Xenopus tropicalis: one gene and its partner. The protein of the gene in region 2 interacts with the protein of the main gene of each other region in a biochemical or structural test. Links are inferred from orthologs where the notes say so. Each region holds a gene or a part of one and is shown on either strand. Other genes may lie near its edges.

Region 1 (4,328 bases), on a different chromosome or scaffold from region 2:
ACATAAGGCCATTGCTTTTTGTATGGCTGGAATATTCCTTCGTTATATATCTGTATTTATACATGTGTCTCCAAGCTGCCATATTATTTTCCATAACTATACGCCCGTAACAAGCGCTTAAGGTGTTACTTACTTTAATATTTCCAGTGAGCTGCTGGCGCTTTTCAATCGCTGCCCGTATTTCCTCCTTTTGATTGGCATTGCCAAGTAAAGACTTCCTAAGCTGCTCCTAAAGCAAAGGGTGGATAATAATATATCAAAAGTTCTCATCACAAACCATAATGTGATAATAAAGATACTGCAATGTGGATTGCCGCTATGTCTTTTAGAGGTACATCTTGCTCCTTTATAGTGTTCTCTGACTGTCACTTGCTAATTAAATAACCCTGTACCCAAACTGTGCCCTCCTTCCCACTAGGGGAGCATGGAGCAGTGGCAGCCTGGAGCCCAGTTTGGGTTCAAAGTTCAAGTCAGTGGTGTTCATACCTTTTCCATTATCTGCCTCCCACAGACCTTCCCAAACTTGTTCTGCTCTAGGCCTGGGCTTATGTGGCCTTTATACAGATCCTGGCCTTGGAGGAAGCCCATATAGATGCCATGAAGACAGACTTATTTTAGGAATGTTCTAGGCCTGAGCTTAGGTGGCCTTTATACAGATCCTGAAGGAAGCCAATGTAGATGCAATGAAGACAGACTTCTTTTAGGAGGAATGCTCTAGGTATGGGCTTATGTGGCCTTTATACAGATCTTGGCCTTGGGGAAGCCCTTGTAGATGCCCTGCGCCAGGGAAACACTGACGGGGTTGCCCTTAATAAAAACAAACCTCCCTCTCTTTCCCAATGAAAAAAGAGTTTGGGAGATGCTGAGTCACATTGTTAGAACAGATCCTGGCCTTGGAGGAAGCCCATATAGATGCCATGAAGACAGACTTATTTTAGGAATGCTCTAGGCCTGAGCTTAGGTGGCCTTTATACCGATCCTGGCCTTGAAGGAAGCCCATGTAGATGCGATGAAGACAGCCTTTTTTTTAGGAATGTTCTAGGTATGGGTTTATGTGGCCTTTATACTGATCCTGGCCTTGAAGGAAGCCCATGTAGATGAAATGAAGATATACTTATTTTAGGAATGCTCTAGGTATGGGCTTATGTGGATTTTATACTGATCCTGGCCTTGAAGGATGCCCATGTAGATAAAATGAAGATATACTTATTTTAGGAATGCTCTAGGTATGGGTTTATGTGGCCTTTATACTGATCCTGGCCTTGAAGGAAGCCCATGTAGATAAAATGAAGATATACTTATTTTAGGAATGCTCTAGGTATGGGTTTATGTGGCCTTTATACTGATCCTGGCCTTGAAGGAAGCCCATGTAGATGAAATGAAGATATACTTATTTTAGGAATGCTCTAGGTATGGGCTTATGTGGATTTTATACAAATTCTGGCCTTGGAGGAAGCCCATGTAGACAATCTTCTTCTGGAAAGACCTTGATGAGAATCAATATGTGATACAAAGCATCAACGCTACCCACTGTACTGGCATGCACCTTGATTAAACCCATTTTTTTTTAGAGACCAGTAGAAGTCCCACCAACATAGAAATCCCTAATATACCTGTAATCTGCTCCTCCAAAAAGTATGAATAAAAACCATTTGTATATGCTGAAATCCAGCTGCAAAACAGTTCTTCTCTTTCTGCATCATTTGGAATCCTGGCAGGGGAGGAGGGACTATAACACTGATGTTACAAATTGTATCAACTTCTCCACAGCTTACAGACAGCATGCAGGAACTACATAACCCACAATGCATTGCACTGTGATGTTCCTCTCCTTATTGACATCATGTGTGCAAGGAATTGTGGGATTGGGAGGATGCAGGCTGAAGGTAAGCTGAGGACAGGCGACTACTGTTACATTTTTTTTGAGTCACAAAGTAGCCAGCCAGATCAGCAGGGGAACAGGGGGCGGGGCTTAGGGAACTGTTCCAACCATATCATCATGGAAAGGCTGCATATTTTTTAATTGATATATATTGAAAAGTTGTTTGAAATTATGTTTACTTTTTTGGGTGGAGTTTCCCTTTAAGACTATAGGGCCCATGGTAAGTTTTGAAGGTGCCATCTCTTACCTCTTCCATCTGTCTCTTCTCCTCAATGGACTCCAGTGTATGATTGCGGCATTCCACCATGTAGCATTTGGAACAGACGCAGCGCTTCTCTGTGCAACAGAACAACTCGAAGTTGCGGTTGTGCCGCTGACACTTTGTAGCTGGACACACGTTTCTCTTCCTTTGAATTTCCGGCTCTTGGGATACGTTCTGCTTCTCCAAAGCCCTTACTGTCTCAACCAAGTCGCTGAGATCCACATTTTTGGGGGTTTCGGGGCGCTCAGGAAATATCTTCCGGCACCGTGGGCAGGAGTAGGGAATCTGCTTCCGAACCTCTTGATCCCAGTGATCATTGATACATTTCTGGCAGAAATTGTGCCCGCAGGCCGTAGACACCGGCATGGTGAACAATTCCAGGCAAATGCTGCACTTTAAACTGCTTCGGATATCATTCGACGTGAAACCGGGGTCCGACATTCTCAGGCTGGAAAGACAGAATATTTACACTGACATATAAAATGCCTCAACAAGTACTGTGTAGTGCTAAGGAAAATCAATATAAGAGAAATGTGTGGCCCCAAGAGCTTACATTCTACTCAGGTGCAGGGCTGGCAGTCGTGCAGTAATCCAGGGAGGAGATCAGACCAGAGAAGTGTCTGGGAAACCGAAAGCAAACGGGAGTAAAGCAGCTGGAGGGAGGGGCTAGAGGAGGAGAGACAGGATTGGCTGAAACACAAGAGGAGAGGGTGGAATACAGAGTGGAGGAGCTGCCTGAGTAAAGGCATTTCATTCAATTAGTCTTTAAAGGTGTATTGTCATTTCAATGTTATTTTATTAGCCCTGTAATTGTATCCAACTCTAATCAGTGCTTCTGTCAATAAATATGTCATAAAAGTGCTTTGGTTTTATTCCATAGCCTTGCTGAGCTTTCTTGTTGCTTAGCACTCAAAATCCTACAGTGATATCAACAATGCAACTGTAACTGAATGCTCTGTTATACAGATAGCTAGAATCTCAGCCATAAAGCAGGGCAGGACTGCTGCTTACAATGGGGGGATCAGATAGGATCTGTGCCACTGTGACAGAATGCTCTGTTATACAGATAGCTAGAATCTCAGCCATAAAGCAGGGCAGGGCTGCTGCTTACAATGGGGGGGGGGGATCAGATAGGATCTGTGCCACTGTGACAGAATGCTCTGTTATACAGATAGCTAGAATCTCAGCCATAAAGCAGGGCAGGACTGCTGCTTACAATGGGGGGGGGATCAGATAGGATCTGTGCCACTGTGACAGAATGCTCTGTTATACAGATAGCTAGAATCTCAGCCATAAAGCAGGGCAGGACTGCTGCTTACAATGGGGGGATCAGATAGGATCTGTGCCACTGTGACAGAATGCTCTGTTATACAGATAGCTAGAATCTCAGCCATAAAGCAGGGCAGGACTGCTGCTTACAATGGGGGGGATCAGATAGGATCTGTGCCACTGTGACAGAATGCTCTGTTATACAGATAGCTAGAATCTCAGCCATAAAGCAGGGCAGGACTGCTGCTTACAATGGGGGGGATCAGATAGGATCTGTGCCACTGTGACAGAATGCTCTGTTATACAGATAGCTAGAATCTCAGCCATAAAGCAGGGCAGGACTGCTGCTTACAATGGGGGGATCAGATAGGATCTGTGCCACTGTGACAGAATGCTCTGTTATACAGATAGCTAGAATCTCAGCCATAAAGCAGGGCAGGACTGCTGCTTACAATGGGGGGGATCAGATAGGATCTGTGCCACTGTGACAGAATGCTCTGTTATACAGATAGCTAGAATCTCAGCCATAAAGCAGGGCAGGACTGCTGCTTACAGTGGGTATGGGATGGGTAATGCCAGTGGCTACTATTTAATTTTTGATAGGTTTTATGTGATTTGTAATGCATGTGTAGGGTGTATGGTGGATAAAGGCCGGTTATTCATTTAGTCCTTCAATAGAGCAGAAAGATGAACAGCACAGATAGCAACAATCCCAGCTTCCCATGGGAGAGTCTTGGGTCCTTCATACAGAAAGCGCGGCCTTAATACAAGTGTCACCCTCAGTGGTTTGCAGTACAGGTATGGGATCCCTTCTCCGGAAACCCGATATCCAGAAAGCTCCGAATTACAGAAAGCCTGTCTCCCATAGACTCCATTTTAATAAAATAATTCAGATTTTTAAAATTGATTTCCTTT
Region 2 (3,826 bases):
GTTTTGCCAACCTGACTGTCCCTTCTCAGCCTGTCAGTTACAGCTTCTAATGCTAACGGCCTCCTGCTGCACCAATATGGCCGCCCCCTCATAGAGGAACATGGGGGATCTGATAAGGAATGTAAAAGCATCAGGCAAATACTTTTATGGCAAAATTATTAAGGTCATACAAATACAATGTTATGATAGATGTAAAAAAGGTTTAATTTCTGGTGTCAGTATCTCTTTAAATAAACCCAATAGACCTCACACCTACACATCATGTCACACATTTTATTAACTAAGCTGTTGTTGCCAAATATTTTGCATATTAACATAACGTATTAACATACCGTAAAATAAGTCAATAAGAAATCTGTCTGTTTCCTCAATGTTCAATGGCGCCACGTGCTCTGAACCCTCGTTTAACAGAATTTTCCTTTTTTTCTCCTCCTCATAAAATTTCCTAAGATGTATTAAGGAGTCGGTCATGCGAATGGTGTCATTGATCTGCAGGGCGTCATTGTACTTCCTTAGATGTTCAGCACACACGTGTTCCTTGCGTTTTCCTTCTTTGGCAGCTGGATTCAAAGCAGAAAAAAGAAATTCGGGTTAAGACATATAGGGCCTGATTCACTAAAGGGCGATAAAACGTGCGCTATTTTTATTGTGCGCTAAAATTTTTACCGCGGCTTAATTTTGGCGTTTTTTCGCACGATTCACTATAAGCATACTTGCGCTTTTTTACGCGCGATATTGCATGCGTTATTTAACTCGCGAAAGACTATTTCAATGCGGTATTTGCCGGTACATGCGCTAAATTACGCGAATAATCGCCGCATATGAATGGTAGCATAGAAATAGTGTATAAATATTGTCGCCGCATATAAATGGTGTATATAAATATTAGCCACATATAAATGGTATCATATAAATAGTAGATGCTTATAAATAGTAACTGCTAGTGATGAGCAAATGTGTTCTGGTTTCTTTAGTGAAAAATTAGCAAATCTTTCGAAAGATCCACGAAACGGCAAAAATGTTGTGCGGGCAAAAAAATTGTTGCCCGTGACTATTATTTTTTGACACTTGTATCAATTTTTGGATGTGCGGTGAAGTTTTGCGTGGCAAATTTTGTAGTAGGTGTTAATTTTCGCATAGCCGAATGCGATATTTAGCGCGCAAAAGTTATAGTGAATCATGCGATCGTATTCTTTTCAGCACGGAAATTAACGCAAATCGGTAAAACTAGTGCGAGAAATACCGCATGCGAAAATGGCGATTTTTCGCACGCGATAATACTATGGTGAATCGCGCGCAAATTATTTTGCGTTTTTTAACGCGAAAAAGCGTGCGATAATTTTTATCGCCCTTTAGTGAATCAGGCCCATACACTGTAATTTAACGATATTAAGTAACAGTGACATGACTGATGTAGCACTGGTAGGAATGATTCTCAATGGAGAATACTCTTGCAATAGCAATCAGGTGTGGAATACCTGCTTTGTAGAGCTTGGGGGAACAAATAAGGTTTTGGGGAACTTTTATGTCCTCTTTTCCAGAGTGATTATTCTTATTTCTTTCTGTAGGGGTGTACCGTACCTGTCTTATCTGTCTGAATAACCCATTGCTCATAAGACTGACTTCCATGGTCAGATGTGGGATACAGCTTGCTATACTCCTCAATCTTTCCCATGATCTCTTTTAATTTGTCTCCGAATGGATTCTAAAAAAAAAATCACACATCATAAGAAAACTCAAGCAGCACAAGGATGCATTTCCTTCTAAACATTGCCTGGACCACAGTGGTAAAGATGTTTTTCTATTCCAAAGTTTTGGGAATAGGGTTTCGACTTGAATAACTATGTTCTTAAATGAGCCCCCTAAACACCTATTTGTAAAACTGGTTTGTTAAACATTTTTATAGCCACCACACTTTAAAGAGATGAAAGATCTCTGCGGACATTATAAGTGACAGGAAGAATACCAGTATAAGATACCCATAACAGGCATGTCAGTTCAAATGATTTTTTTTGTGTGTGTGTGTTAAGGGTCCTTTTTAAGCAGAAGCTCTGAATGACACAGTGACCCAAATACTTCCTATTGTATTTCATCAGAACTTACACCTACATCATGATAGGAAGAAGACTACAATAGAAACCAGGGCAAGATACCAATAATGGGGATGTCAGTTCAAATGAATTTATGTCGCTTTTTCCTGTGCTAAGGTTCTGTTTAGGCAGAGTTTCTGAAAGGCATGGTAACTCAAACGCTTCCTAAATGTCCTCAATTTGACAGTCTTTTAAATGAAGACAAATCCGTACCTTCTTCTTTTCATCTGAAATCTTGACCTCCTTGTATGGATCTTTCACTTGCTTTCTTAGCTGCTCTGCATTTTCTTGCACGGTCATGATTTTGAAAGCATCCATGTTTGCGCATATCTGATATAGCAAAGACAAGGCTGTTATTGGCTACTAGACACCAACCTTCTGTTGGGCGTTACTGATAAATGTGATACAAACTTCCCAATGAACAATCCCACTGCACCCCCTGCTCTTATTGACAAATACAAGAGGATTCTCCAATGAGAACTAATCTTCACCCTGTCTTTCAAGTTCCATGTTGACAGTTGTAGAAAGAACCTGCTTCTCTGTGGTCCAGTGGAGATGCCCTAAAGTTGCAAAGAATGCCCTTCTTGTAACCCACAGCAACCAATCACATGTTTTGGTACAGTTTGTACTGTTCCTTGTTTACCATTTATCTATGTTGCTTTTCTAAAGTTAGCCCACTTCACATAGGAAGGGGGACTCACCAAAGCTCCTAAAATGTTCTGGTGTCCATCTTAACGATGGATGCCACCATACTCTGCGCTTATCTATAGTAGCTAAGGGGTATATTTATCATGCTGTATAAAAAGTGGAGTAAAACATCACCGGTGATGTTGCTCATAGCAGCCAATCAGATGCGTTGCTTTGATTTTCTAACTGTTGAAATCTAATTGCTGATTGGTTGCCCTGGGCAACATCACCGGTAATGCTTCACTCCACTTTTTACACAGCATGATAACTATAGCCCTTAGTGTTCCAATTTTCTTGTTGCACCTACTTTGGTGCATGAGGCCCATAAAAGTTCTGTACAATTGGCAAGTAAGAACAGAATAATTTTGGGGTGTTTTAACCTTTAGGCACTCACTGTTGGGCCAATAAAGTCATGTAATTGATAAGCTGATAACTGTACGCACTTATTAGAGATGTCCTCATATTTAGTTTCCTTCTTCATTCAGTGGAAAGTTTGCTACATAGTCATATTACACAAAAACCTTTTACCCTCAGAATATGTTCTTCTGACTTTTTAATGTTCTTGGCCCCTCCCACTCCTGGCGAAGCCGTAAGTCCAAGTATTTGAGGCAGTGGAACCTGTGCCTTTTCCATCTTGCTGTTGCGTTTGTTTTGCATTTTCTTTTTTATATAACGGATCATGATATTATTGTACACAGCATCCTTTTGAGTGTGATGGCATTCATCAATAATAATGAGGGAGAAATCTGCATGAAAAAAAACAAAAAAACATTGTTTTTTTAATTAAAACCGCCATCATTGTATGGTACCATAATACCAGTGTTTTCCCAGAATTTCATATAATGAGAGGCTATTAGAAAGGTGAATTATTCGGTGGTCTTCTCCAAAACGTATCCTTATTTGTGTTAGTAGTGAAGAGGACACAAATAGGGATAGTTGCTCAAACCATTGGCAACCTCTAACATGCACAGCACCAGGTAATGAAGAAGCACCCATGTTCTTTGTTCATAAGCAGAGTCAGACTGGGTCGGCTGGACACCAGGGAAAAA

The links.
Region 1: of the proteins of ifih1 (region 2) and trim65, one has a biochemical effect on the other in vitro, tested with the Homo sapiens proteins (2 studies listed by BioGRID, with this or other methods). The link is inferred for Xenopus tropicalis from reciprocal best matches to the Homo sapiens genes IFIH1 and TRIM65.

Annotation. Positions count from the first base shown.
Region 1 is NC_030686.2:44,879,284-44,883,611, forward strand, and holds the start of trim65 (tripartite motif-containing protein 65), read right to left. Parts: upstream 2,807-4,328; 5' UTR 2,698-2,806; intron 2,593-2,697; 5' UTR 2,586-2,592; coding exon 2,130-2,585; intron 230-2,129; coding exon 134-229; intron 1-133. UniProt on the Homo sapiens protein: E3 ubiquitin ligase that plays a role in several processes including innate immnity, autophagy or inflammation.
Region 2 is NC_030685.2:71,936,817-71,940,642, reverse strand, and holds part of ifih1 (interferon-induced helicase C domain-containing protein 1), read right to left. Parts: intron 3,524-3,826; coding exon 3,306-3,523; intron 2,421-3,305; coding exon 2,304-2,420; intron 1,706-2,303; coding exon 1,582-1,705; intron 561-1,581; coding exon 333-560; intron 1-332.